Ovis aries: one gene and its partners. The protein of the gene in region 1 purifies or fractionates together with the protein of each later gene. This does not show direct contact. Links are inferred from orthologs where the notes say so. Each region holds a gene or a part of one and is shown in the gene's direction. Other genes may lie near its edges.

What was found.
Region 2: the proteins of SS18 (region 1) and DPF2 purify together in Homo sapiens (affinity purification with mass spectrometry; 4 studies listed by BioGRID and IntAct, counting the BioPlex papers as one, with this or other methods). This does not show direct contact. The link is inferred for Ovis aries from reciprocal best matches to the Homo sapiens genes SS18 and DPF2.
Region 3: the proteins of SS18 (region 1) and ARID1B purify together in Homo sapiens (affinity purification with mass spectrometry; 4 studies listed by BioGRID and IntAct, counting the BioPlex papers as one, with this or other methods). This does not show direct contact. The link is inferred for Ovis aries from reciprocal best matches to the Homo sapiens genes SS18 and ARID1B.
Region 4: the proteins of SS18 (region 1) and SMARCC2 purify together in Homo sapiens (affinity purification with mass spectrometry; 3 studies listed by BioGRID and IntAct, counting the BioPlex papers as one, with this or other methods). This does not show direct contact. The link is inferred for Ovis aries from reciprocal best matches to the Homo sapiens genes SS18 and SMARCC2.
Region 5: the proteins of SS18 (region 1) and ARID1A purify together in Homo sapiens (affinity purification with mass spectrometry; 7 studies listed by BioGRID and IntAct, counting the BioPlex papers as one, with this or other methods). This does not show direct contact. The link is inferred for Ovis aries from reciprocal best matches to the Homo sapiens genes SS18 and ARID1A.
Region 6: the proteins of SS18 (region 1) and BICRA purify together in Homo sapiens (affinity purification with mass spectrometry; 3 studies listed by BioGRID and IntAct, counting the BioPlex papers as one, with this or other methods). This does not show direct contact. The link is inferred for Ovis aries from reciprocal best matches to the Homo sapiens genes SS18 and BICRA.

What each region holds. Positions count from the first base shown.
Region 1 is NC_056076.1:31,045,087-31,050,067, forward strand, and holds the start of SS18 (protein SSXT), read left to right. Parts: upstream 1-1,903; 5' UTR 1,904-1,921; coding exon of another isoform or gene 1,922-1,943; coding exon 1,944-2,012; exon of another isoform or gene 2,013-2,423; intron 2,424-4,667; coding exon 4,668-4,744; intron 4,745-4,981. UniProt on the Homo sapiens protein: Appears to function synergistically with RBM14 as a transcriptional coactivator. Isoform 1 and isoform 2 function in nuclear receptor coactivation. Isoform 1 and isoform 2 function in general transcriptional coactivation.
Region 2 is NC_056074.1:39,986,869-39,991,395, forward strand, and holds part of DPF2 (zinc finger protein ubi-d4), read left to right. Parts: intron 1-1,740; coding exon 1,741-1,901; intron 1,902-2,285; coding exon 2,286-2,393; intron 2,394-2,717; coding exon 2,718-2,881; intron 2,882-3,697; coding exon 3,698-3,790; intron 3,791-3,946; coding exon 3,947-4,025; intron 4,026-4,527. UniProt on the Homo sapiens protein: Plays an active role in transcriptional regulation by binding modified histones H3 and H4. Is a negative regulator of myeloid differentiation of hematopoietic progenitor cells. Might also have a role in the development and maturation of lymphoid cells.
Region 3 is NC_056061.1:81,525,760-81,530,286, forward strand, and holds part of ARID1B (AT-rich interactive domain-containing protein 1B), read left to right. Parts: intron 1-1,234; coding exon 1,235-1,363; intron 1,364-4,527. UniProt on the Homo sapiens protein: Involved in transcriptional activation and repression of select genes by chromatin remodeling (alteration of DNA-nucleosome topology).
Region 4 is NC_056056.1:163,368,094-163,372,620, forward strand, and holds part of SMARCC2 (SWI/SNF complex subunit SMARCC2), read left to right. Parts: intron 1-1,658; coding exon 1,659-1,772; intron 1,773-2,196; coding exon 2,197-2,350; intron 2,351-3,008; coding exon 3,009-3,101; intron 3,102-3,329; coding exon 3,330-3,449; intron 3,450-3,538; coding exon 3,539-3,601; intron 3,602-3,944; coding exon 3,945-4,203; intron 4,204-4,441; coding exon 4,442-4,527. UniProt on the Homo sapiens protein: Involved in transcriptional activation and repression of select genes by chromatin remodeling (alteration of DNA-nucleosome topology).
Region 5 is NC_056055.1:240,200,568-240,205,701, reverse strand, and holds the start of ARID1A (AT-rich interactive domain-containing protein 1A), read left to right. Parts: upstream 1-1,629; 5' UTR 1,630-2,392; coding exon 2,393-3,538; intron 3,539-5,134. UniProt on the Homo sapiens protein: Involved in transcriptional activation and repression of select genes by chromatin remodeling (alteration of DNA-nucleosome topology).
Region 6 is NC_056067.1:54,357,069-54,361,595, forward strand, and holds part of BICRA (BRD4-interacting chromatin-remodeling complex-associated protein), read left to right. Parts: intron 1-1,811; 5' UTR 1,812-1,816; coding exon of another isoform or gene 1,817-1,857; intron 1,858-1,954; coding exon of another isoform or gene 1,955-1,971; coding exon 1,972-1,997; intron 1,998-2,091; coding exon 2,092-2,167; intron 2,168-4,064; coding exon 4,065-4,130; intron 4,131-4,527. UniProt on the Homo sapiens protein: Component of SWI/SNF chromatin remodeling subcomplex GBAF that carries out key enzymatic activities, changing chromatin structure by altering DNA-histone contacts within a nucleosome in an ATP-dependent manner.

The sequences.
Region 1 (4,981 bases):
TTACCTACTGTTGGGAAGCTGTAATTTAGACAAAAGAACTACCTGTCTCTGGTTACTACCTTGGCACTCTCCCCCCTGCCCGGCTATAGGAATTCAGTGTTGCTACTGGTTCACGTCCTTCTTTTACAGTTTCCATGCTATCTCCCTAGCAGATGGAAGTGGAGCAGTAAGAGTTTCATTTCTCCTACTGAGATATTCTCAACTACTAAAGCACATTTGTGTAAACATCAACACACCACCATGGAAGCCAGGCTTTTGGACAAGACTTAGCTTCTGTTCTGAAATCAATAGGTTTTCCAAATTGATGTGTTTGCATTATGTCCAAGTTTACTTGTCAATGCTAAGGGTAGTGAAAGACAATTCCTGTAAGAAACTACTATTTGCAGAAGTACAAATCATCTTACTTTTATTCTGAGGATGTCTTGAGTCTCTTTATCCTGTAGGTCTCAGGTTAAATATAACCAAGGGGACTTCCCATCACAACCACCTGAGTGCCTCTGTCAGTCTCCCAGTTTGCTTGCCTTCCTATTTACTTGTTTCTGGTCTCTGAACCCTATCAGAGTTTAAGTTCCTTGAGAACAGGTACTGGGTCCATTTTGTTCACAGCTGTATCCCAGGTGCCTACAATAAAGGCTAGCACATAAAAAGAACCCAAATTTGCTGAATGAATGAAACTCATGACCTTTTTGTGAAGAGCATTTACTTGAGACATATTTTCAAATAAGGAAATTTTCTTTTTTTTTTCCGGTTTATTTTATATATAAACCAAGGGATTGATTTCTGAGCCTCATTAATGTTGGGTGACATTTTTATATAAACTTTTCCTTCTTGTTACATGAAAGTTTAACTTTACTGTGTATTAACAAACCCTGCACCAACATATTACGGACCTTTGCCCATGTCCCTTCCACAATTTGGAAACTTTTGGCTTTTTCCCTCACACTGATTAGCTTGGGCCTCATGTACAAGCAAGCCACTAAATACATAATTGCAAAAGAAAAGCGCGAGGGTGCCCTATTTCAAAACCTAATTCCAAAGATGCAAGTCAGATGAAACTGACCCACATTTCCCTCAAGGGTTTATCCTAAGAGGCGAACTCTGGCCGCTGCAGCCAAGCTGGCCGACTGCCCATGAAGTACAGGACATAGCCTTCGTTTCCCGATTTTGGGTCGCGCTTACTTTCTAATTGTTCGGCAGGGCTGTGTGCGCGCACGAGACCGTGGACTCGGAGGTGCGCACTTCGGGGCGTAGCCGAGCCATTCAAACCAGCGAATCGGCGCTTCCCTAGTCCGGCCACCCCTGCCCGGTCTCAGCAGATGCTCCACGGGTGCGCACGAAACTCCCCGTTCCTGACCTTCCTCCTCCCCTCTCCGGATACCCGCACAGCTCGGGGCGGCCACTTCTACCCAGGAGGGGCTGAAGATGAAGTTGGCAAAACTGCTCGAGCTCTAGAGCGGAGAGCCGAAACGCCGCCGAGGGACACCCGGGCGCGCGGAGAGGGAGGCAAGTGGCCCCGCGCGAAGGGGGCGGGCCGGCTCGAGCGCTCGCATTTCCTGTGACAGGGGCTGCCCTAGCCGCTCCCTCTCCCGCGGGCGGCGGGACCATTTCCTGAATCGCTGAAGCGGAGGGAGGGCTGGGGCGCGGCCCTACCACGAGCGCAGAGGGCCGGGGGTGGCGGGGAAGGACAGGCGGAGGAACCGGAGGGCGACCGAGAACAGGGACGTTCTGCGGGGACCGCGGCTCCCAGGTACTGCGCAGAAACCGGACTAATTCGGGCCAGAGCTCCTCCCGCAGGCGGGGCAGGCCGGCTGCCCGTCGGGCGCCGGAGCATCCCCCCTCCCCGCGAGCCCGACGTGGTTCGGCCCGAGAGGCCGGCGTCTCTCCCCCAGTTTGCCGTTCACCCGGAGCGCTCGGGACTTACCCGTAGTGGTGACGGCGGCAACATGTCCGTGGCGTTCGCGGCCCCGAGGCAGCGCGGCAAGGGGGAGATCACTCCCGCCGCGATTCAGAAGGTGAAGCCGCGCGGCGTCGGGGATGCCAGGCCCGGACCGCGTTGAGGAGGAACCCGGGGGTTGGGCTCGGGCCGGGCTTGTCGGCCGCGCCGGGGGCGGAGGCGGGCCTGCTGGGCTGGCGGGCGGGTGTGGGAACCTGAGCCGCGGGGCTGCGCCCGAGTGGGTGGCGGAGGGGGCGAACTGCTCCCCTCGCGGAGTCTTGCGCGCCCCCTCGGGCTCCTTCCTACGGGCACAAAAGCCCTAGTAACCGCCGCCCGATTTCTCTGGGGATGGGGCGGCGTTCGCACGGCGGGGCGCGTGCGCCCGGCGGCGGCGGCCGCGCGGGGCAGGGCTGTTTTCCGAGGCCCGCGCCCCCCGCGATCCGCGCGTCGCTCCGGAGTTACTTTGGCGTCGCCCCGCCCCGCGCGGTGCGGCGGCCGCTCCGGGTCGACCCCACCGCGGTCCCCGGGGTGGGCCTAGGAGAAGTAGGAGCGCTGCTTGCTCTCGGTGCTCGGCTGCAAACTCCAGCCGAGTTGGGGAGCTCTCAGCAGAACTTGGGGAATGCTGCGGGAAACCTCGGCCGAGGCTCCGAGGCGGACGAGGGAGCACCCTCTAGACTTCGGGGTTCTCTCGGAGGCGCTTCTCCCCTCCGGATCCACCCCCGACCGATTTACAGCTGCAGCGCCAAGCGTAGGCGCCGAGGCTGCGGTGGTGAGCATGGTCCCTGCCTGCCTTCAGGGAGCTTAGGGTCGAGTGATGGATACAGTCTGAGCCTCGTGATCAGTTTCAGAAGACGTGATACACACGCGGGGAGCTGCGCTGTGGCCGCGGTTACTTGCTAGTTGGGGACACAAAGGTTTCTTTATTGTTTTCTGCCCCTTGTTGCCTTTGAGCACTGCAGCATTCTGAATTTTAGTGAACCAGAGTTTGTAAAGTTATTTGCTAAATTTTGCAGTTTACCCTAAATAGTTTGGTTTTGTTTTATGCACCGGAATAAAGATCAAAACGGAAAAAAAGTCAACTTTCAGGACTTGTCAAGACACCATCGTATGCCTAGTAGTTTATGTTAATAGGCTTCTGTTGACTCTCAGGCTCTTTACAGTGTGGCGTTTGACATTTGCCCAACTGTTGCTTTATTTATGAAGAGACACGCTTGGCATTGCCTGAAAATGCAGTGCTTTTTGTATAGCGTGCTGGGAGAAGTCTGCGACCTGGCAAACAGCTACGAGTACACGTACACAAAACGTGTTTCTGGAAGGCTTCACTTTTTGGACTGTAGAAAAGTTCTGAGTTTGTATTTCCTATGAAGAATTTTTCTTACCTACATCTTAAGATAATTTATCGTGGGTGACTAACTAAAGAGATGCTGATCAGTTAAAGTGTTCATCCTCAGCTCAGGAGAGAAAAAGGATCCCACATTAAGTGCCTGATTGTATAGCGTGAGGGAATGACGTTAGATACAAGACAAACCCAGACGTTCTAATGGTGAAGATTGTTAAACCGTGGAATCTACTGAGAAGATAGGTTGTGAAATCATTAGATTGGAGATTGTATTAAAACACATTCTAAAGACAATTTTTTTGGCATCTGATGAGTAGATATAAGAAGAAAACTGCAATTTTTTTTTTGAAGGGCATGTTAATGTTTTTTTTTTCCACCAAGTAAAGACATTCATATGCAGAAAAGAAGTCACACTTTTAAATGGATCTTCATGTTTAATTAAAAGAATTACATTAACTAAATTAATGAGAAAGAGTGGTTATGGTATTAAAGCTTTGAAATCCTGGAAGGGTGGGGGCGGTTTGAGGAGGAACATCTACTCCTGTCCCTTGATAAATCTGAGCCTTTGACATCTTGAGTGGTTTGCTCAGGATAGCTTGACAGTAAAACTGGCCTTTTAATTGCTACATCAGTGCTTTTTCCTCAGCACCACTCTGCTTAGATGCATTATTTAATCCTTAAAGCCAGTTTTGCTTTGAATTGTTTTCATAGTATGATAAATATATGCTTGTTTTTAAACTTTTGGGACAATTATAAGGTTGGCTCATAGGGTCTGTGGTTAATATAGTACTTACCGAGAAATTATTGGAATTATTGCATATTTGGAAAGTCACAAAACCATGCTGCATAAAACTGCTGGGAAAGATTGAGGGCAGCAGGAGAAGGAGGCGACAGAGGAAGAGATGGTTGGATGGTATCATGGACTCATGGGCACAAGTTTGAGCAAGCTCTGGGAGAGGGTGAAGGACAGGGAAGTTTGGTGTGCTGCAGTCCATGGGGTCTCAAAGAGTCAGACATGACTTAGTGACTGAACATCAACATAAAACTTGGAAGCTAGCCAGCTATCTCCTTAAGCCTCCTGTGCTGAAGTTTTCATCAGTTTACTTCATTCTGGATTAGGACAGATTAGCTTCTACTGCAGGGGGCACAGGTTCAATCCCTGATTGGGAACTAAGATCCCACAAGCTGGGTGGCAGTGGTTAAAAAAAAGAAATTGTTGATTAAACATAACATCCCAAAGATATAAAATAAGATCTTTTATGCAGAGCTATATTGTAGGTATAAAAAAGAACTGTGGAGTCAGTTCCTGTATAGATAAACTTTTATAGAAATCTTAATTTTTTATTTTACTTGATGCATGAGACTTACAATAAACTTTTTTTACTTTTATTTCAGATGCTGGATGAAAATAACCATCTTATTCAGTGTATAATGGACTATCAGAATAAAGGAAAGACCTCAGAGTGTTCTCAGTAAGATTGATATGAAAGTTTTTTGGTATTTCTTTTTCTATGTTGGTTAGTTTTTTTAACTTTCCTTTCTTTTTAAGAATAGCTTTATTGAGATATAACTCACATACCATATAATTCACCTGTTTTAAAGTGTACAATTCAGTGGTTTTAAGTATATTCATAAAGTTTTACTGTTAATGCTTTGATCAATTTTAGAACATTTTCAACAGTCCGGAAAGAAACCCTATCATTAGCAGT
Region 2 (4,527 bases), on another chromosome or scaffold:
GCAGTGTATGTCTTTGTTGGTTGCTGGGAACGTTCTAAGCTGTGCCTCAGTGGCTGCCCCATGAAAGCCCCTCTTCGATTCCAGAGCAGGGTTTGTTGCTGCAGCTTGAGTTACGAACATAAACGACAGAGATTTACTGTGTTCAACTTCTCATGCTTGGAGTCTCCCTCTTGTAGAATATGTCAGAGCTTATCTAGTTCAGCCTCCCTAGTCAATAGCATACCTGAGATCCACGTGGGTTGACTAAATGTCCATATATGTGGTGACTTGCAGCCAAGCCTGATCTTTTTACTTCTGAGTCAGGATATTCCAGACACCTTCATGGGTGCTGAGGATATTGTGGGAAAGAAATCATCTGCCCTCAGTTTGTTTACTTTAAGATCAATCAAGGGAAATTCCCTGGCGGTCCAGTGGTTAGGACTTGGCGCTTTAACTGCTAAGGGCACAGGTTCAATCCCTGGTTGGCAAACTTTAAGATCCTTCAAGCCACGTAGTGCGAAGAAAGAAAAAGTTTGCTCGAATATATAAATGTGAATTGTGTTAGTTTAAGCTCTAGTATTACTGTGCTTGTTAAACCCTGAAGGATGAGAACAAGGTTGGTTCTGTATACATGCTTCTTAGAACCAGATTACTCCTGGCACTGCAGTTTTGCAGCTTTTTAAAGCTCTTGCTGCTGCTGCTGCTGCTGCTGCTGCTGCTGCTGAGTTGCTTCAGTCCTCTATGCGACCCCATAGAGGGCAGCCCACCAGGCTCCCCCGTCCCTGGGATTCTCTAGGCAAGAATACTGGAGTGAGTTGCCATTTCCTTCTCCAATGCATGAAAGTGAAAAGTCAAAGTGAAATCACTCTTAAAAAATTCAAATTTCAAAGGAGGTCTTTTGAGTTCAAAAAGGTTCTTAAAAAATTTGTTGGTGTGAGAATGGAGAAGGGTCTAGAATAGGCCTTTCTGCAAACAGGTTTTGTATCAGTGTAATGGTACTCAGTAGAAAGTAGGCTTCAAGGGTGTTCACATATTTCCAAATGATTTATATTGATTGCAAAGTTAGTATATAGAATTAGCTACTTTGCAAATACCTAGTTTAAAACTCAAAAGATATAAAATGGCACAAAGGAGAAAGTCCCCTAGTCACCTGGTTTTTCTCCTTGGACTCCTACAGTTTCTTTTCCACCACTTAGGGACATCCCATAGCACTGCTCAGCCCTGTACCCCCTCCCCTTTTTTTGTAGTTATCTTGGAGATTGTTTAATGTTTGTACATGAAGAGCTTCCTTTTTTTCTTATAGCTAAGTTGAATTTCTTTGTATAGATGGAGTTTGATAAACTTTAGTAAGTCCCCCCAGATCTTTTGAACTCTTCTCATTTGTAAACAGGAGTAACTTCAGCTTCTCAGAATCCTGAGGGTTAAGATAAGTAGCTCTTTGGTTACCAAAGTGTTGGATTCACGAGAGGCACAGAACAAACATTATTTTCTTCCCCTCTTTGTGGGTTAGACTAAGGACTGATTAGACACAGGGTGCAATCATGCGCTCTGACGGTAATTTATTTGTAAGGTACTTTTCCTCATAATGGCCTAGTGAAGGGGTTTGGTGTCCCATGAGGCAGAAATGGAAGCAAATAAAAGCAGAGTGACATTCTCCCAGTCCCTTGAGCCTTCTAGAGAAGCAGATGGCAAGGGAAAGGGATAGCCCAGCACATAAACACACACGTGCGCAGTCACACCTGAGTTTTGTCTTTCCTGAAGCCTTGGGGAGCAGTATTACAAAGATGCCATGGAGCAGTGCCACAATTACAACGCCCGCCTCTGTGCTGAGCGCAGCGTACGCCTGCCTTTCTTGGACTCACAGACGGGAGTAGCCCAGAGCAACTGTTATATCTGGATGGAAAAGCGACATCGGGGTCCAGGTGAGAATCCACTCAGGAGCCCAAGGAGGAACCAGCTTCCTCATCTTAGGTGATGAGCCAGCTGAATAGGTTTTCCCTGTTGCTTTCCACCCAGGGATGCATACAGTCTTCCCGTGATTAGAAGCCTGGAGAGGTTGAAACACCTTTTGTTGTCCACAGGGCTACACTGCTCAGGGTCTTGCTGGGCTCTGGAGAGCTATGTGTTAGCCAAGGCTCCTGAGCTTAATCTGTTTTCTTGTCCATAAGCCATGCCTCCTCCAGCCCCAGGTGCTTACCATCCATATTCCTCCCTTGCTCTAGAACGCTACTCATGTAGAAAGTGTTTGATACTATTTTCTAGAGCTGTGTTAGGGTTTGATTTCTCTCTTTTCCTTCCTTCCTTAGGATTGGCCTCTGGGCAGCTGTACTCTTACCCTGCCCGGCGCTGGCGGAAAAAGCGGCGAGCCCACCCTCCTGAGGATCCAAGGCTTTCTTTCCCATCTATTAAACCAGGTGAAGCACAGTCCTCCCTGAGCGGGATATACCCTGCTGCATAGTCAGAGGCCTGCTAATCACTTGTTACATACCAGGCCCAGTGCTAGATTTTGAAGATACTAAAATGAATGACATGTGAGTCTTTCTGTAAAGAATTCAGTCTAATAGTTAAGAGACAAGTAAACAGATAAGTTATGGTGCCAAGTAAATGAAAGCATCTTGGTTCCTGGGCAGCCAGAGACCAGAAGACAGTGACTGGCTTGTGATTGGTCTGACACTGTAGGTCAGGCAGATCTGCGTTCAGCCCTTGTGAGCCTCACCTCCTCCTGACCTTGCCCGCAGACACAGACCAGACCCTGAAGAAGGAGGGGCTGATCTCTCAGGATGGCAGTAGTTTAGAGGCTCTGTTACGCACCGACCCCCTGGAGAAGCGAGGCGCCCCCGATCCCCGAGTGGATGATGACAGCCTGGGCGAGTTTCCTGTGACGAACAGCCGAGCACGGAAGGTACACGATTAACACTATGGTTAAGGAAACTGTGGTGGAAACCAGTCTCCTCTTCATCCGAGGCCACCCAGTAATCAGGATAGAAGCAAGAGCTATGGGCCAGGAGGGGCCCCTGCTGTTCTGCCTGCTCCATTCCTTAGTGAGCACTGCGTACTGACGGGCTGCACTGTCACCATCCCGTCTTGCCTGCTCCTTTTCTAGTAACTATAGACTCTCATCTTCTGCTGCCACCCGAGTTTTTTTAGTGCCTGGGGTTACCTAGGTGATGTCTCTGCCAACAAGGAAGCGAAAACTGTACGTAAAAATATGTCAGGCACTGCTAAGCGCTTTTCCATCATTTTCTACAGTCTCTACAATTTTAGGAAATAGGTACCATTGCCCATTTCACAAGGAGGGGTGGCGCGCTACAGCACATTAGGAAAAAGGAAAAACCTGCCTCAAGTAAGCAGCATTGCTCCAGTTTAACTCTGGGATGTTAGGTGTTGGAAGGGAACCACTGCTGACATGCTCCCAGGTGGCAGATCAGAGGCAGGAGAGGGCATGCCACTTGGGGTATCAGGGAAAGTTTTATGAAAACGTGGCGTTTGATTTAGCTACTTGGAGATGGTGGAAAAGGCATTCCAGACTAGGGGAACAACATGAAGAAAGGCCCAGAGGAAGGAGAGCCCAAAGCCTTGAAAGAACAGCAGTGAGGAGTGAGGCTGGAGTGGAGCCGCTGGGTCACGGAGGCGGTTCTGGCAACCTTGGCCAGTCCCAACGTGGGGGAGCTGTTGGATGTTCTCATTTCTGCCCATCCTAATCCTCCTGTCTACTCAGCGGATCCTAGAACCAGATGACTTCCTGGATGACCTTGATGATGAGGACTATGAAGAAGACACTCCCAAGCGTCGGGGCAAGGGGAAGTCCAAGGTGAGGGGCAGCCCAGGGGATTGGGGAGCCTGCAGAGTCCCACTGTCTTACTGCTGCTTGTTGCCATCATCCTTCCTGAATGAGATTAGCAGCCGCTACCAAGAGAATAACTCTTCAGGCCCAGACACCGTAGTTAAGGGCTCTTCTTCTTTGCAGAGTAAAGGTGTGGGCAGTGCCCGTAAGAAGCTGGACGCTTCCATCCTGGAGGATCGGGACAAACCCTATGCCTGTGACAGTGAGTGCCTCACGAGTGGGTGGGTAGTCCTTGCCTTCGACCCAGCTCCTCGGGATATGAAAGGAGGGAAGGTTGTATTCTTGCTCAAAGTGGTAAAACAAGCTTGGACTCTTGTCCTGCCTGCTGACTGGTTCCCTCTGAGATCCCTGAGAGGCCCCGGCCTCTGCTGCACGATGGGTGAGCCTTGCATGCTCTGGGGGAGATTTCTGCTGTCCTCTGGGGTGGGGGTGCCCATGAGGGACACACAGCAGGCAAAGTTGGCCTCTCAGTAGATGACATCTGGGCCTGCTGGCCCCAATCAAGTCAGGCCCCAGGAGTCCAGCGCTGACTTTTCCGATGTCTGTTCCCTCTTCCCCTTTTCTCTGACTCGCCCCACTTCTGTCCCTGCACCCTGGGACCACCGTCTCCGCTGGGGTTTCTCTCTCGTTTGCTCTGCTTTCCTGCTGCTGCTGTACCTGTCTCAAGTGTACCAAGGCCCTCTTCTCATGACTTTTCTTTCTGT
Region 3 (4,527 bases), on another chromosome or scaffold:
TTGTGTGTGTTTGTCTAAATGTATACGTGTGAGGTTTATTGCTTCATGTTCTTATGTTGTACTTTTATTTTTCTGGGCATATGTCTCTCTCTGTCCAAACCAAAAGGCAGTTAGCAAAACAACGATTGTATTTCTGAACATTTAAGTTGATAGAGCAAGGCTTTAGCCTCAATTATTTACTTGTTTTTAATCCTGAAAAAAGTCTTGAAGTAAATACTCGACCTGTTTTAAAATAATTGAATTAAAAGTTCATGAGGCAAAGTGACTATGTTTTAAAAGACTCAAATGAAAAAAATGTTTGAATTTTGTTTAACATATGTTAAGATGTTTAAAACAAAGGACACTGAAAGATATGCAGTCCATGGGGTCGCAGAGTCAGACATGACTGAGCGACTGAACAATACGGTATCTTCAGGAGGAAAAATAGAAGATTCTGATTTTGTCAAGGTGGAATAAGAGCCTCTGTGTGTGTGTGTGTGTGTGTGTGTGTGTGTGTGTGTGTGTAAATGTATCCTTTTGTTACTTTTCCTCTGAAGCTGCTATTTGAGAATGTTAGGGACCCTTCCAGTCTCACTATTTGCTCTACCAAATAATACATTTCCTTTGAGGAATCAAAATGAAAGTCAGATTCTCTCTCTTACCCCCTCACCCTACCTTTCTCACTCTTATCCATGTTACAGTGACTTAGAATCTTCTGAACCCTGGCACTATACCTCTGAACTGAACCTATGGCTGCAGAGAGAATGTTTTAATATACCTGTCTGTGAGGACTGGTTGGGCCCGTCCAGTTGAAGTTCTAATTTAGGTTTAAATAAATTGTCCATTGTCACAACTCAAAAAATACACAAGTTATTTCCTTTTTAAGGAGAAAATATTTGATTGCATTTGACATGAAACCTTGAGTAATGAGCTGGGAAGACTATAACTGTAGAGATTAAGACATAGTTGTTTGATGAAAAAGCTTTGCTGTGTTCCCTTTCTGAATCAGTTTATATATAATTTTATATAAATTAATATATAAGTTTACATCCAAGCGTTTTCAGTTTTTTTTTCTAATCAATAGACCATTCCAAAGTCTTGCCTTCACGTTCTGCCCATCAGAGCTCTAATATGGAGTATCAGGCCACGCACTATAAGCCACCACACCTTGGTGTGGAGATAATGTAATGGACAGGGGGATTCATACTTGTCTACAGAACAAATCCAAAGAAGCTGTTCTTCTGTTCTACTTTAGGCCACCATACATTAGGTCGCCTGCTTATCCCAGCCAGTCTGGGGCTGGCGGACGCCCCATGTTTTCTTCCCAGCACCCCAACTATGGCAACTCTCAGGCTCCCATGATGCACCAGCCTGACCAGTACGGGTAGGTAGCCACACACCCTGACTTGCTGCGGGACCTGGGCATTTGTTTAAACTGTTAATGAACATGCCATCTGGCTGCAAAAGGAACACCCAAAGCAGGAGCGTGAAAGATCCAAGAGAAGGTCCATCTCAGAGGGGGTTGTCTTTTGTTTATTTTTGTTTGTTTTGGGTTTTTGTTTGTTTTGTTCTGTTTCGTTTTCTCATCCTCCCCAGCAGTACTGTGGTAGTTTGGTAGAGACCTGCATGTCGCCACCCCACCCCCCACCCCCGCCACCCCCCCAATTCTGTCTCTGCATGACTTCGGCATGGCTTCTTTCCTTCGTGCCTGAGAGGGAAACAAAAACTTTTATCCATGTAAAAGTAATGAAGTCACCTGCTCCGGCGTCATGTCCCCCACCGTTGCTGTCGTGTTGTCTAGGACGTGTGTTGTGCAGCACTGTTACCATGACCGTGTCACTGTCATTCCTGCCACAACAGCGGCCAGCTTCCACACCCGCCCTGAATTCAGAGAGCAGCAGGCGCATTGACGAGAGCCCCACGCAGGAGGCAGGGCGGAGGTTATTAATAGGACTTGGGAGGGTCTAGTGACATCACTGAGCAAACATCTGCGTCAAAGATTTCTATTCTTTCCTTCTCCCAAAGGAGGATTAGAATATCAAAGTCACCGGGAAAATATAACCAAATAATCCAAGACAGGATTTTTTCCCCCAAACACAGTGTTGCCATATTATTATCAGTTTCAACACAGGAATTACATACAGCAACAAAAAGTATCTCTCTTCTTTGCTGCTACAAAACTGTAATATCAGGCTGTCACTGTCTTTAGGTTAGTAAATAATCTTAAAGTATATTATTATTGCGTATTTAAGCAAAAATATTGTTAGTGATCTTATTTAACATATAGTAATGATGAAATTATCTCCTGTAGATTGAATTGTGTTCAGGAGCTACTTTCAGTAGAAAGATACAACATTTTTGTAAAATAAAAAACAGGGAACAATCAACTTTGTTAAAAGACTGAACTTACATAATTGTGTTTTCACTACTTATTAGGAATGTATGACACAGCTTTTTAATGTATTAGGCAACAAGTGCAAATGATAGTTTTGCCATTGAAAGTTCTAGATCCTGTAAACACGGTCCTAATTGTCCCAACAGATAAAGAGTTCTGTAAACATAATCCTAAAATTGAAATAAGTATGGAATGAGGTAAACATACTTATTTTGGAGAAATTGCCTTTCATCTTTTTTCCTTTCTTGTGCTATGTTCAAGGTCACTTCCTGAGTTGGTAGGAAGATAAGAGGGGAGAAAAGCATTTATCATCAGCTGCTAATCCATAGGCTCTGTCCTTTACCAACTCAGGAGTCCTATTTAGACCCACAAAGCTAGTTTGGCTGGGCCTTGCCAAGCCACATTAAGCAGCTGTGTAAAATGAATTTAAATGGCATGCATCAGAGTAAAATCTCTTCCACTGGGGCAGAAAATCAATGTTCGCCAACCAGCACGAGAAGATCAGATCTGCATTTCAGCCAGCAGCATCCAGATAGCTTCCTCAGAATTCAGCACCTCCTCCTTAATTAAAAATAAGGAAAAGAAAGATGTTGGCGTGAGTCCGTAAATTGTATGAAACCCACTTGGCAAAGGCTCATCCTTACAGCCCCATTCCTGTTAGCTCTGAATTTTGCCATTTGTATTTATACTGTTCTTTCTGAAAAAGAAAGTTTTATTTCTATTTTAAGTCTTCCTTCCTTTGCAATATATATCCTGTTGTGCCCTCCCTTTTTTTTAAGCAGAAGCTTGATTGTGAGAAAGCATGTGTAGTACATGTTTCAGTGCTGGCAGTTAGGAAATTTGATTTTCAGCATTGTTTTTGCTTTACCTAACACCTCCTCGCAGCAAATTGTGTTTTTGCTTTTGTTTTCTTTCCTCATGGATATCTCTGTGAGGTTAAAGTTAGGTTGGCAACTTGAAAAAGCAGTTCAGTAAATGGCAGATTTTATGGAAGAAATAGCTCAAACCTTTCAAAAATATAGTATTCAGAATTTGTTATAATGTCTTCTTTCTCAAGTCAGAATCCCAGAGGGCCTAGAGCCTATGAGGGAATCTGAGAAAGACAGATAGTGATGAAGGGAGGGAGTGAGTGTGAGAGAAAGAGAGTGTGTGTGTGTGTGTGTGTGTGTGTGTGTGTGTGTGTGTGTACATTTAGAGACAGAAAGCTAACTGCAAAAATGAAGGATTATGGCAGTTATGCTTCAGAGTTTCTCAACTAGTCAGATATAAGATAGTTTAGAGAAAAAAAACAAAATATATTTAACTAGTTTTATTATTTCCTTTTTTAAGAGTGACACTGAATAAGTTCAGAAACATATGGATGAATCAATTTTTTGTCACCTTTTGAGTGAAGGACTCCCTCATTTTGATTTTCAGACAATTTACAATAGAATGTTATGACTCTTACCGTTCAGTTACTAGATTAGCTGCATAATACTAGCCAGTAAATTGAAATGAACAGTTTGTATGTCATATCTGTCCAGGCTACCCCCCCATACACACTTGATATACTTTTTACTCAGAAGATGCCTTGCTGTATTCATTTTTAAAACATTTCTAGATAATGTTCTGCTCTTTTGAAGCCATGAGAAGCAGAGAGTGGGAAATACAAGTTGTCATACTAAAAGCCTAGTCAGAGCTGGCAGATGACGTTCATATTCAGTCCAATTCTGACGGCAGTGTGTAGCATCACTTTGGAAGAATTCTGAGACATTGTCAAAGCTCAGGCGAGCCAAAGTTGGCCAACAGTTTAAGAAAGATGTTGACTTACTGGTTCTAAAGAAGCATTTCCATGAATCCCAAGCTGTAACATAGTCCTTCATATTTGTTGAATGATTGACCTCTGTGCTTAACACACATATACACACATGTGAAATCAATTTTCCTCAGTCATTTAGTGTGTTTTACTTTCATTCATTCATTCTAGGTGCCACCCATCTAGTATTGTCCAACAACTGACATTTTTGCTCAATACAGCTGATCTGTGGATTTGGATATTTCAGCATTATCCAGATTTTTTTGTTTTTCCTTAGAAATAAGCTCCAAGGAATATGCATGACTTCAGTGAATTTACAGAAGGCCTGGCAAGCCCTAGATCTTTAGGCCATGGTAGA
Region 4 (4,527 bases), on another chromosome or scaffold:
AGGCTCACGGAGACATGCTGTCTGCCCACAGGCAGCTCCAGCCCAGCACTGTGACCACTGCCTCTGGGATCTGCTGGGGGCTGTGTAAAGCTTGCTGTTCTGTTCAAAACAAATATTTGCTTCCCCCTGGGCTCAGCTGTGTTTCCTCCCTCTGTTTCTTTTAACAGGGTTTAGAGCTTTCCATCCAGCCTTACCTGTGCTGTCTAAAATGCAAATATCTCCAGCATAATTAATCTCTTTGGCTAAAGTGTAACTGACTATTACTGGTCCCATAGAGTAGGTTTTGACAGAAAAAAATGGGAAGAAGAACTATTAAGACCCAGTCTGTGAATTAAAGGATGGAGAGATGTGTTTTGTAAAGTCTGGGCCTGGGGCTCAGACATCTTCATGTCCTTCGAGGCTCCTCCTCAGACCAAACCTGCCTGGCTTTAGTTTGGTGGTTTTCTGTGGTTAAGAATGTTCCAGGATAGATACGGTTGGGCAGGTGGGAGCTAGTGCTGAGCCCAGGCACCCTGAGGACTGAACGCATTGGCTTCCTAGCTATTCCTCAGCTCCCCATCTCCCTGCTCCAGGGTCCTTCCACCGTGTTTCTTTCCCCACAGCCTGGTATGATTCTCTTCTCCTCCTCTTGCTGAGGAAAGCAGTATATAAAGAAGCCTTGCTCTCTCCAGAGGCAGTAGTGACAGATGACATGAGTTCCACTTGATCTGCAGGCAGAGTTGGAACTAGAACTCTTTACACTTTGCACTCTGGGTGTAAAATACCAAACAACGATAATGGCCTATATGTGTTGAGTGCCCTTTATCTCCCAGGCATTATCCTAAGTATCCTACATACCTTGACTAATTTAATCTTCACATCAGCTTTAGCTGTAGCTCTTACTATCTTCAGTTTACTGACAGGGAAACTGAGGTGTGGAGGGCGTCAGTCACTTGCTTATAGTTACACAGCTCGTGAGTAATAAAGCTGGGGTCTGAGTCCTGTAGTCTGCCTCATGTTCTCAAACGTTACGTTACGCCGCACAATAGCTGCCATTTTTGGAGCTTGTACAGCATGCCCAGCACTATTCTGTATCTCTATAGACCTTTCTATTCTCAACAGACACTTCATTTTACGGTTAAGGTAACTAAGTTTCAAAAATTTAAGACCATCATAGTATAACTAGGATTTTAACGTAGACCTTTCCACGTTCAAAACATGTATTCTTAAGGCTGTGCCCTGCTAACTAGGTGGAGGCACCCCTAAGGACTTCCCTTTAACATCTGCCTTTGGAATTAAGGGCACTTTCTCTTTTTGATTTCTTTTCCAAATGTTGGATGAGGGAGTGCCCTGTTAGCCTAATGGGTTAGGATTCTGGGCTTTCACTGCCAGGCCCCAGGTTCAGTTCCTGGTCAGAGAACTGAGATCCTGCAAGCCATGTGGAATGGCCAAAAAAAAAGAGTTGGACGAAACATCCCCAAGCACACACAGCCAAGGAGATAACTCATTTAGCGAAAAATCCCATCGAGGGTCTGAACCCCTCATGTCTAGCACACAGGCGACCCGCAGTGTGTATTGAGTTGGATGAGGCATTCTCTGTCACACATGAAGGCTGTTCTTCTCTTACCAATTTTCCCTACCCCTCAGCCCTCTCACCGTTCACATCTCTCTCTTCTCAGCTACCTGGCCTATCGGAACTTCATGATTGATACTTACCGGCTGAACCCCCAGGAGTATCTCACGTCCACCGCCTGTCGCAGGAACCTGGCGGGTGACGTCTGTGCCATCATGAGGTGGGTCTGCAGCTGAGGGGTGGCAGAGGCTCAAGGACGATGCTCACAGATGCCTCTTGGTCGAAGTAGAGAGGCTGCTGGCAAGGAGCATAGGGGATGAGCAGGAAAGACACTGCTAGAGAAAGGCCAAGTTCAGGCTTGGGTCAGGGTGACTGAGGGGGTGCAGGGCGCTCTCTGCAGTGTGGCGGGAGGAAGAAGGAGCACATCTGTAGTGAAGGAGCCCATCCGGTGAGAGAGGCAGGAAGCAAGGTTTAGCTGATGGGTGGATATGGAGAGAGGCCCTGGTGCGCATGGGGACTTGGCTGTCCCTGGTGTGTAGGAGCTGGCAGGAAGCCGTATCTCCCAGGGAGTAGAAGGAGCAGAGAAGAGGGTGCCCCCGGCCCTGTCCTCGTGTGTGACCCAGTCTCTGCCTCTCTCCTCACAGGGTCCATGCCTTCCTAGAACAGTGGGGTCTCATTAACTACCAGGTGGATGCCGAGAGTCGACCAACTCCCATGGGGCCTCCGCCCACCTCTCACTTCCACGTCTTGGCAGACACACCATCCGGGCTGGTGCCACTGCAGCCCAAGACCCCGCAGGTAGCGTGAGGGGCTGCGGGGACGGGGTGGAACTGGGCAGACGGGCTTCTTTGGACTTTTCTTTTTCTGGTTTTTTAGGGTAATGTTTCAGGAGTGTTTGAGGCTTCTTCCTTTTCCATGGGATGCAAAGGGCCACAGGAATCAGTCCCATGTATTTAGCACCCTCTCTCAGCCTTTGTACCTAAGACTGCAAGGACTTGCTGAGGGAGAAGAGATGCTTGTTGTCCTCGGGGAGCAGACAGGCTAATGTAGGGGATGGAGCAGATAGAGAAAAATGGCTTACAATTCAGTTGCATGAAATTTTTTAACCTTGTCACGTTTCCAGCATTTTTTCATTTTTGCTTCATAATTTTTATCACTTCCATTTTTTTCCATTTCCATTTCATACATTACAAAAATTGTTATGTGGCTTGCCCAGGGTCAGACATGTAGGATTAGAACCTACTTGTCCAGCTCCTAAGAGAACCCGTAAAGATACATGTGAATACAAATGGATATCATGCCAATTCCAGGTCTAATTAACCACTCAGGGAATACGGAACTGTGGCATGAGTGCCCCCCGAGCTTCGGGCTGCCCAGCATTTGGTCTTGAGGCCTCCAGGGCCTCAGCCTGGTCATTTTGTGCCCAGCCTCCATGACACCAAGCTCTGTCCCCCAGGGCCGCCAGGTTGATGCTGATACCAAGGCTGGGCGAAAGGGCAAAGAGCTGGATGACCTGGTGCCAGAGACGGCTAAGGGCAAGCCAGAGCTGGTAGGTGGGGTGTAGACCCCGCTGGGCTGCTTCTTTGCCCCTTTATTGGGGGGCCCCTGCCCGGGAAGAAGAGCCGTGAGAGCAGAGGAGCTACAGCAGTGAGGAAGTCCACGCAGGGGTGTCCCTGGCTGTGGGAAGGGAGCCCCTTCTGTCTGTCCTCTCTCTCTGTCTGCCCCTGGCTCCTGGCAGTCACTCGGAGTCACCTCTCTCTTTCCCTTCCACAAATAGCAGAACTCTGCTTCCCAGCAAATGCTCAACTTCCCTGACAAAGGCAAGGAGAAACCGACAGACATGCAGAATTTCGGTCTGCGCACAGACATGTACACGAAGAAGAACGTCCCCTCCAAGGTACAGGGTGGTGGGCACCTGGGGTCGGGGCTCCTCCTCCTGCAAGGCTGCAGGCTCTTCCTGCTGACCCACCCGTGTTTCCCCTGCAGAGCAAAGCCGCAGCCAGTGCCACTCGAGAGTGGACGGAACAGGAGACCCTGCTGCTCCTGGAGGTAACTGGGGCCAGGGAAGGAGAGTCCTGTGAAAGGGAAGTGGCCAGGGTGCCGGCCGCACTTGGGAGTGGGGAGGGCGTGACCTCGCCCTGTCTCTCTCCTTCCCAGCGCCCATCATATACTCCCCCAGGGGCCAGCTGCCGGGCAGGGACTGAGACCATTTTGTCAGTCCCCTGTCCTTACCAAGTGCTACTTGGAGATTCCCCTTGGGCCTGGCAGAGTATATAAATATCACAACCCAGAGAGCTCTGAAGCAGCTCTGCTTAGCGGGGTTGAGGACGCTGACCTTTGAGGGAGGTGGCTACTGGAGTAAGTGAGGTTGTGTCTCCACCACCACCACCAGGCACTGGAAATGTACAAAGATGACTGGAACAAAGTGTCAGAGCACGTGGGAAGCCGCACACAGGATGAATGCATCTTGCATTTTCTCCGGCTTCCCATCGAAGACCCGTACCTGGAGGACTCAGAGGCCTCCCTGGGCCCCCTGGCCTACCAGCCCATCCCCTTCAGCCAGTCAGGCAACCCCGTGATGAGCACCGTTGCCTTCTTGGCCTCTGTCGTCGACCCTCGAGTGGCCTCAGCTGCTGCGAAGTCAGCCCTAGGTAACGCGCAGGGCTCCCATCCCTCTTGGTTTGCATTTGAAAGGCTGGGTACTCTGACTGTGGAACCCCCTCAAGTTCACTGCCCTACTGGCCTTGTCTGCGGCTGGCATCAGCCCAGGCAACGGTCCAGCTCCACGCAGGCAGAGATGAAGAGCTGGGTTTGTGAGGGAGCTCTCACAGAGAGTGCCAGAACTGCCTACCTGCCTGCTCCCAGCCTCCCCCTCTCTGGGTCTTACAGAAGAGTTCTCCAAAATGAAGGAAGAGGTACCCACAGCTTTGGTGGAGGCCCACGTTAGGAAAGTGGAAGAAGCCGCCAAAGTGACA
Region 5 (5,134 bases), on another chromosome or scaffold:
AGGAGGGCACTGGTCCATTCCAGTCAGTCAGTTTCTGGTAGGCTGGTTTGGTTCTTGGCTTGAGGCGAAGAAAACACCACTCTTAGAGTCTTAAGAAGTTTGTGCCTTTTTAGTTTAAGATGATATTAGGTTTTCTGGGGGTTAAGAATGAGTTCAGGTTTGGGGAATTATTCAGTGGCCAGTGAGTGGCACAGCCAAAAAACCTCCAGGGGCCTGCGGAATCTGGAAATTCTAAGGTAATGGTTCTGTGGCCATGAAGCATCTATTTACAATATTTAAGTGGGGATGAAACCCTGGTGTCTAATGACTAGCTGACCTAGCATCTCTCAAGGCAGCCCTGGGCTTCGTGAGAAGCCGGTATCCCTTCTGGCCTGTGTAGCCTGTCATGTCAGAGCATTCTAAGTCAGTCAGAGGACAAGGCTGCTGCTGAGATGTGGTGGAGCCTGTGAATCTAGAATTTTCTGTGTATACCTCCAGTTCACTCAGCATCTCCCATTCAGCATCTCTTAGAATGTAACAGTAAACTTTAATGATTCCTTACAATGAAGGATAGAAAAACAAATTTAGGCTGCATCTGTTTTCTGAGTGAGGTGTTAGACTGCACCTTTTCTCTCTTTTTAAGGAGAAAACGGTTCCCTCTACTTGGTCATCCCTCTTCGGCAGAGGTTCCTTTGAACACTCAGGTTCCACCAGTCCCTGGAGTCTCTTCTGTGGTCTGTTACAGTCTTACAGGTACTGTCTTTGGAGACGGGACCTTGGTCATTGTGGGCAAAGGTGGGGCTTGTGTCTTCCTCCAAGAAGGCGGTCATATGTCCCCAAAATATCTTCAGGGGTGACCATTTTATATCGGTTGAGATGACCAGCTTGAATCTCAAACCCATTCTGATGTTCTGATCCCACTGTTGTATATGGCACCACTTTTCTTTTTATTACTATTATTTCTAACGCTAAGTAGACAGGGGCAGCACTGGGGACTCTGCTACTTTTTAAAGTCACCCTCCACTGCCCTTGTCTTTGTAAGTGATAGACTAAGTGATAGGCCGGTCCCCTTCGCTATCTTATGAGTCTGTAAAATGGGGATCAGGAACTTCGTGCCCCCAGGGCCTGTGAGGACCGGCTAATGAGGGCAGAGAGTGGGAAAACGGAAAGTCTGAAACAATGATCTGTCATTCCATGCAGCTTGCAAAGAGGATACAACGTAAAGCTCAGCTGGGTCTTTGGAGCAGGTCTGCAAAAGGCTTTGAAGAAGGAAAAGTGCCGCGGAGATGCTAAGTAGCGGCCAAGAGACCAGGCCCGCTGCCAGGGGGGGTCAGGCCTGGGCCGAGGCGGCCGCGGTCTCGGGCTCAGGCCAATTTTGCAGCCGCGAGTAAAGTTCACGCTGCCCGCGGCGCGAAGGGGACCGACCTGGATAGGGAGGCCAGGAGGGAGGCGGCGCGCAGGCTCCGGAGAGGCGCGAGCTCCGGGCCGGGTTTTCCCCGAAGCCTTCGGCGGCGGCGCTGCCGAGCGAGAGCGGCAGAGCGCTTGCCGCCGCCGCCGCCGCCGCCGCGGCTGGTTCTCTCCCCTCCTCCTTTGTGAGGGGAAGGGAGCGAGTCCGTTCCACGGCCTGCGCCCCGCTCCGCGCTCCGTTCCGGGTTTGCCAGGCGGCCGCGACGGCGCTGGGTAAAATGGCAGTGCTGAGCCTCGTGTCGGAGTGAGGGGGACTCGGAGGAGAGTGGGGCGCTCTAGCCGCTCAGTCCGGCCGCCCGCCCGCTCGCCCGCTCGCCGCCGCGCAGCAGCCTCGGCCCGGCGCCGCGGCCGGGGAGGGGAGGCAGGGCGCCCGGCCCGGCCCACGCTCCGACTCTGCCTGCCGGCGCCCGGGCTGCTGCCGCGCGCCCTCCAGCCCGCCCGTCCCGGGTCCCCCTCCCCCCGCTCCCTCCCTCCCTCCCCGCCCCCTCCCCCTCGCCTCCCTCCCTCCCCTCCCTCCCTCCCTCCTTTCTCCGGCAGCAGAAAGCGGAGAGTCACAGCGGGGCCAGGCCCTGGGGAGCGGAGCCTCCACCGCCCCCCTCATTCCCAGGCAAGGGCTTGGGGGGGAATGAGCCGGGAGAGCCGGGTCCCGAGCTTACAGAGCCGGGAGCAGCTGAGCCGCCGGCGCCTCGGCCGCCGCCGCCGCCTCCTCCTCCTCCGCCGCCGCCGCCAGCCCGGAGCCTGAGCCGGCGGGGCGGGGGGGAGAGGAGCGAGCGAGCGAGCGAGCGAGCGAGCGCAGCGCAAAAGCCGCGGAGCCCCGCGAGGCCCGCCCGGGCGGGTGGGGAGGGAAGCCCGGGGGGACTCGGCCCCGGGGCGGGGTGGGGTGGGAGGGGGGTGAGAGAAGACGAAGACAGGGCCGGGTCTCTCCGCGGACGAGACAGCGGGGATCATGGCCGCGCAGGTCGCCCCCGCCGCCGCCAGCAGCCTGGGCAATCCGCCGCCGCCGCCCTCGGAGCTGAAGAAAGCGGAGCAGCAGCAGCAGCAGCAGCGGGAGGAGGCGGGGGGCGAGGCGGCGGCGGCGGTCGCGGCGGAGCGCGGGGAAATGAAGGCAGCCGCCGGGCAGGAAAGCGAGGGCCCCGCCGTGGGGCCGCCGCAGCCACTGGGAAAGGAGCTGCAGGACGGGGCCGAGAGCAATGGGGGTGGCGGCGGCGGCGGAGCCGGCGGGCCCGGCGCGGAGCCGGACCTGAAGAACTCGAACGGGAACGCGGGCCCTAGGCCCGCCCTGAACAATAACCTCACGGAGCCGCCCGGCGGCGGTGGCGGCGGCAGCAGCGACGGGGTGGGGGCGCCTCCTCACTCAGCCGCGGCCGCCTTGCCGCCCCCAGCCTACGGCTTCGGGCAACCCTACGGCCGGAGCCCGTCTGCCGTCGCCGCCGCCGCGGCCGCCGTCTTCCACCAACAACATGGCGGACAACAAAGCCCTGGCCTGGCAGCGCTGCAGAGCGGCGGCGGCGGCGGGGGCCTGGAGCCCTACGCGGGGCCCCAGCAGAACTCGCACGACCACGGCTTCCCCAACCACCAGTACAACTCCTACTACCCCAACCGCAGCGCCTACCCCCCGCCCCCCCAGGCCTACGCGCTGAGCTCCCCGAGAGGTGGCACTCCGGGCTCCGGCGCGGCGGCGGCGGCGGCCGCCGGCTCCAAGCCGCCTCCCTCCTCCAGCGCCTCCGCCTCCTCGTCGTCTTCGTCCTTCGCTCAGCAGCGCTTCGGGGCCATGGGGGGAGGCGGCCCCTCAGCGGCCGCAGGGGGAACCCCCCAGCCCACCGCCACCCCCACCCTCAACCAACTGCTCACGTCGCCCAGCTCGGCCCGGGGCTACCAGGGCTACCCCGGGGGCGACTACGGCGGCGGGCCCCAGGACGGGGGCGCCGGCAAGGGCCCGGCGGACATGGCCTCTCAGTGCTGGGGGGCTGCTGCTGCTGCGGCGGCGGCGGCCGCGGCCGCCTCGGGAGGGGCCCAACAAAGGAGCCACCACGCGCCCATGAGCCCTGGGAGCAGCGGCGGCGGGGGGCAGCCGCTCGCCCGGACCCCGCAGGTAACACGGCTGGTGGGGTAGGGGGGGCTGTGGCGAGTGGGGCGGGGGGGTCCTGGGAGTGGATGGCGGCGGCGGGGAGCGGGCCACGGCCGTGGGCTACCCCCAGTCTGGGGCCCCCACTGCTGGGGAGCTGCCATTGTCTCGCTCTTTCTCTCTTAAAATGGCTGCCCGTCTGCCTTCCTCTCTTTCCCTCCTTCAGCCTTTGTGTGGGGCTTTCCTTGAGGTGTCTGCTCCCCTCCTCCTCCTCCCCGGGTCCCTTCCAGCTCCGGGGGGTCTTCAGAGGGGTGCGGAGCCGGGTGTGCGGGAAAAGGGCCCGGCCCGGGGTGAGGGGGTGTTGGGGGCTCAGGTTAGGGGTGTAGGCAGCCCTCGGAGGTCGGGAGTTGAGTGAACAGTTCTTTGCTCACCTGCCGCTCCTCTCTGCCCTCCCTACCTTCCTCTAGGCCGGTCCCCATCTGTGCTTTCAAGGAGGGGGCCCCTCGGGCTCGGGGGGACCTCGAGGGAGGGCAGGGGCCTGCTTGGGAGCAGCTAGAGCCCGGCTTCGGTTCACCCTGGGCAGCCCAGGTCGTCTCCTGTCTTAGTCTCCGTCGGCCCAGTGGCCTGGGCTTCTCCCTGGAAGTGCTGGTAAACAGCTGAGTGATTGGAGTAGTAAGTGCAGATTGCTTTGGTTTGGGATTTGAATTATGGAGGTAAAATCCTTCTGTCAAAGCCAGGAGACAGTTGGTCTTAGGTTGACATCCTATCTGTGATCTGATTGGCTCCCCATCTCCTGCTCTTGGCCATTTATAATTGCCTCTGATGTAATGGTACAACAATCCTGATGAGCTCATAAACTTTTACACTCTGCTTTTCTGCCAGTGATAACCCAAACCATCGCTGCCACTATCTGCCTTTTATTCCAGAGCTGAAATTGGCTGTGACCTTGAGGAGGGAGATTTAAGCAGCAATACTGTATCAGCAGGAGCAGAGCCCCAGACAGGCTGCCCTTGTTACATTGTGCCCGGAACAAAAGAGGAGGCAGTGGGATTTTGCTTGTACCTTGGATTTATTTTGCTTGTTATGTTTTATGCAGCCTGAAATAGATTCTGTGTTGTCCGAACAGTAGCTGAGTTTTTCTCTACAATGGGTTTGCTGTTTGTTTTGGTTTTGTGACTTTCCTGATGGTATAAATGACTTCTTTGATGGCTCTGAAGATGCGTTTGTCTTGAGTAATTTTGACCCTGTTCGCTTTGCAGAATTGAAATTATTTTACTGAGCTTTTTATTGAGTGGCAAATGTGGGATCTTTATCAGAGGGGGTAAGAGAAAACTTTGAGAACTGGAGGCTTTCTGAGAGAGAATTTCACATTTAAGTGTTCTAAGGAAGGCTGGCGTCATTCTTTGTTTACATGTTAAATCTTGTTAACACTTTCTTTTGTTAATTAAACTTTGGGAGAGCAGCTCAATTTAAAGGGAAGGACATCTTTCATCTTTCCTGATCTTGAGAGGTACTGTTTCTTAAAGGCTTAGTTTGGTGAAATTTATCATATATTTCTGGAATATCAAAAAACCCAGTTTTCTGTTTTGTCATCATTTTACAGCTTGAAATACAGGTCAGTTT
Region 6 (4,527 bases), on another chromosome or scaffold:
AACCTTCAGCTCCACCCTTCCCAACCTGGGGCCCCGGGGTCATTCGGGCCAGCCCCCTGCCTCCTCGCCATCTACAGGAGAAGCAGGATCTCCCTCCCACATCCCCCTCTTCTCCAGGTGCTCTGCAGATCTTGCCAGGTTGCTCCCTGGCCAGGCCTTGCCCACTGTGGGCTGGTTAGGAAGGGCAGGGGCTCGTTGGCAGCAGAGCTGGTGGCGTGGGAAGAAGGAAGCGTGGGTGGGGGCGGGGATGTGAAGCCAGAGAGAGTATGTTGTACCAACGCCTGGTGCAGCCAGAGTCTTGGAAGGGAAAGGCCCCTCTGCGGTCCGTGCCCAGGGCCAGCTCTAGAGGGGAGGGTGATTGGCGTGTGAGGCCCTGAAGATGGATGTTTCTGTTCTAGACTGGCCTTGTAACCCGGGGCCCGTGAAATGTGTACGTGTGTGCATATGTGTGTGCATGTCCCATGCAGAAGTACGCGTAACATATCTGGCCCACATGCGTGTTTCTGGCCAGAGGGTCTTTTTGCTTTCATCAGACCCTCCAAGGCACAGTTCAGAGAAGACCCTAAACTAGTGACGCGGGCTTCCTCCCGAGGCTGTCACAGAGCCGTTGAGGTTACTGGGGGTTGGAGTGGCGATTGCGAAGTTCAGAGGATCTGTCAGAGTGAGGAATCATGACCCAGCTGAGGGCACAAGTGAGATTTTGTGTGTTTTGAGGTGTAGGGAGGGGTAGATCCTCCTCAGTGAGTTCAGGACCACTCCTGCTCTCCCTACCAAAACAAAAAAAAGAGAGGGTGAGAAGTCCACGGCTCTGGGCTGGGGTTGTGTGTGATTTCTCGGGTCCTGTCTGCATCGTTGGGAGGGAAGGATGTGTGGGCAGATGGATGGATCAGTTGGATGTGTTTGGAAGACAGGAGAGATGGACCGTGAGGCGGAAGTTTGGCAAGATGGGTACTTGGAAGCCTGGTGGGATGTTTGGAGCAATGGGAGGTTAGGTGAGGGTTGGGGGGATGGCAAACACAGAGAACTTCAGTTTTCTCGCTATAAAATGGGACACACAGTACCCTTCCCCATGGGGATTGAACAAGCTAACATTAGTGGAATGCTTGGGACAGTGCCTGGCGGGCACGTGATAAGCCCGGGCCAAATGTTAGCCGTCCTCATCCTCATCGCTCTGACAGGCTCAGCCGGGCTCCGGCGGCTGCTCTGACGCCAAGCGCCCACCCTCTGGGTCCCTGTCCCTCTCTTTCCCTCCGTGAGAACTGCACTGCATGTGTCTTCCACGGGGACCCAGAACCTGAGCCCCTTCATGCCTTCCCCCCAACCCAGTCGCGTGTAGGACAAGCCCCCCAATGCCCGCACTGGGCCAGCCCTGCCCTCAGGAGGCAGACACAAGCTCTGGGGCCAGATCTCTGTGAGCCAGGAGACGGAGAACCACAGTCTCTGCTCTTGCATTAACTCCTCTGCGAAGCTGGGGGGGTGGCAAGACCCACTTCGAGGGGTTCCCTGGGGATTAACTGCGTTAGCGTGTGTGAAGCACTTGGCACGGGGCCCACACGTGATCAGGGCTCACTTAGTCAGGACTGACGTCATCGTTGTCATCACCGGATGCTGGGGGGACAGAGGGAGGAGGAAAAGGCAGCCGTGTCTCTCTGGTCAGAGCTGCTGGTGGGGAGGGTCCTGCCTCGCCCCCCCACCGTCCATGCCCACAGACTCCAGGGGTCTGGGCCCCCAAGAAATGGTCCTTGTGGGGAGGGTCCTGGCCCGCTGCCACCATCTAACCTGTCGCCCTCTTCCTGCCCTGCCCCATCCAGTGGCGATGGATGATGAGGATGGGAGATGCTTACTAGACGTGATTTGGTGAGTAGTGGGATTCCCGTCCCCCCTTCCCCCCTCACTCTCCCTCCTCTCCCCTGTCCCTCATCTCCTCAAGTGTTTCTCCCCTTCTCTCTTTCAGTGACCCTCAGGCCCTCAATGACTTCTTACATGGATCCGAGAAGGTGAGTGCTGGGCAGGGCGAGGCATCCCCCAGGGCAGCAGGGTGCTGTGAGTCAAGCCCCCCACCACCACACTGAGTAGACATCTGCCTTCCAGGAGCCAGGCCCCAAGCTCACGGCGAAGAGGGAAAGAGACGGCAAATCCCTGCCCTCACGCCATACACATTTCCTGGGTAAACAAGCAACCAGTGACTAATAAAGGCAGTGGTGGAAAGCACCACGCCGGGCAGCAGAAGAAATAGCAACATCACTTTTGCACCACAAAGGAGGATCCGAAGAAAATGAATGGGAGGTGGGGGGCAAGGGCAGGGGCTTCGTTAGCTGCAGTGGGCAGAGAGGCGACATTGAGGGTGAAGCTGAAGGACCAAAGGGAGGCACCCACTGTGCTCTGACCAGGGGGAGAGCAGGTGGGAAGGCGGGAAAGTCCGACCCGTTCCAGGAACAGAAAGAAGGCCAGTGGGGCCAGGATGAAAGGTAAACTAGTAGGTGGGGAGACTGGAGTGGACAAAAATCCCCAGGTCATGCAGAGCCTAGAGGAGCTTGACTGGGGAGTTTGGACTTTATTCTGAATGTGACAGGCAGCTCCGACAGTTTATTAAGCAGCCACATGGCATATTCTATTTGCACTCCGGAGAATGGAACACAGCGGGGACGAGGGGACATCTGTTGAGCCACAAGGGGTTGTATCCGTTACCTAGGGCTGCATAACAAGTTATCCCAATGCGTTGTGGCTTCTACTGACTTCTAATAACATTTGTTAGAGCTCTCAGTTTCTGGGGATTGGGAATGGAGGAGCAGCCTGGGTGTCTATCTTGCAGTCTCCCCTGAGTAGCATTCAGGATGTTGGTTGGAGTCATTGTCATCTGGGGGCTTGCCTGGGGCTGGGGGGCCTGCTTCCACTCCTGTGCCTGTTAGCTGGAGGCCTCAGCTTCTCGCCACGTGGGCCTCTCCAGAGGATTGCTTGAGCATCCTCATGACGTGGCAGCTGGTTTGCCCAAGCAAGTGACCCAGGGGAGAGAGCCAGGAGGAAGCTGAGCGCCTCTTATGACCTAGTCTCCGAAGTCACACTGCATTCACTGGAAGCGAGTCACCATGCCCACCCACACTCTCAGAGAGGGAAAAGAGCTCCACTCCTCAAGGGGATGTATCGAATAATTTGTGGAGCAAAGGCAAGTGCAATGGGAGGATGGCGGCCTGGGCCCCAAGGCAGGCGGTGGAGGAGGTGCCTGGAAGGCAGCGTCACTCAACTTGACAGTGGATTAGATGGTGAAGAAGTGTCCAGACTGCCTCCTGGACTTGACCTGAGCAACCAAAAGGGTTGTACCATTCCCTGAGACTGGGAGTTTGGAGCAGACCCCAGAAGTCCGAGGGCAGCAGTTAGATATGTTGAATTGGCCAAAAAAAAGTTGGTTTGGATGTTTCTGTAAGATGTAATGAGAAAACCCAAATGAAGTTTTTGGCCAACCCCATACCAGTCTAGGGTTCTAGAAGGGGATCAGCTAGAAACTGGGGAGCTCGACTGTGGACAGTGGGCGCTTAAGGCCTGTTCTCGGCATTGAGGATAACTCCTGGAATGAGACCGGTCCCTGCCCTCCCAGACATGGGAGCAGCTCACACATCCGGCGCCCAAGGAACGCGGCTGTGCAGAGGAAGGACTGATTTCATTGGAAGGGACAGACGGGCACATGTCGGGAGGAGGAGGCACGTGTGACAGGCCCTGCAGGATGTGTTACCAAAGAGGCAGAGGGTGAAGGCCCGGGGTGCTGCTTGGGTGAAGGTGCGGAGGCAGGATTCTAGAGTTCCAGGCAGGCATGTCGGGGAGCCTCGGACGTGGTGCTGGGGGCTCCTTAGGATTTAAACTTGCAGCCAAGCCCCTTCCTTTGGGGCCTCTTTTCTGGAGGTGGAGTTTCCGTACCCCTCGAACCTCCCCCACCCCCTGCATCCCCCCCACCCCCACCTCGTCTTTGTCTTTGTGTCCGTGTAACACGAAATTGGTTTTTGTTCTAGCGTGTGGGCCGGCCCACTGCCCAGCTGACCTTTGACCTTGGGTGGGGGCGGGTCTTGTTGCAGCTCGACAGTGATGACCTCCTGGATAATCCCGGGGAGGCCCAAAGTGCCTTCTATGAAGGTCCTGGGGTAAGTGGCCACGGGGGCTCGAGGAGGGTGGTGGGCAGGACGCCCGTGGTAGCAGCCAGTGGGAGAGGGTTGGAGGGCGTCTCACTTATTCCCTGAGGCACTTTTTGCCCCTCCAGTGAGGGGCTGGGGCGTAGTCACTGAGAGCAGAGTGGGGTGCAGGTGAGGCCGAGGCTGCCAGATACCTCCCCTACCTCCAGGCTGTGCCTCAGAGAAGGAGGTGCGGTTCCTGGGTCCCTGGCCTTAGGGATCAGCTGCTATAGCGCTGGCATGGAGGCTGAGGCTGGCCCCTGAGGATGGGGACAGGGGCATCTTGGGGGTCTTGTCCTGGCTCAGCCGGGGAAGAGGATCCACTGATACAGACCTCCGTCTCTGCCTGAAAATGAGAGCAGGGATGATG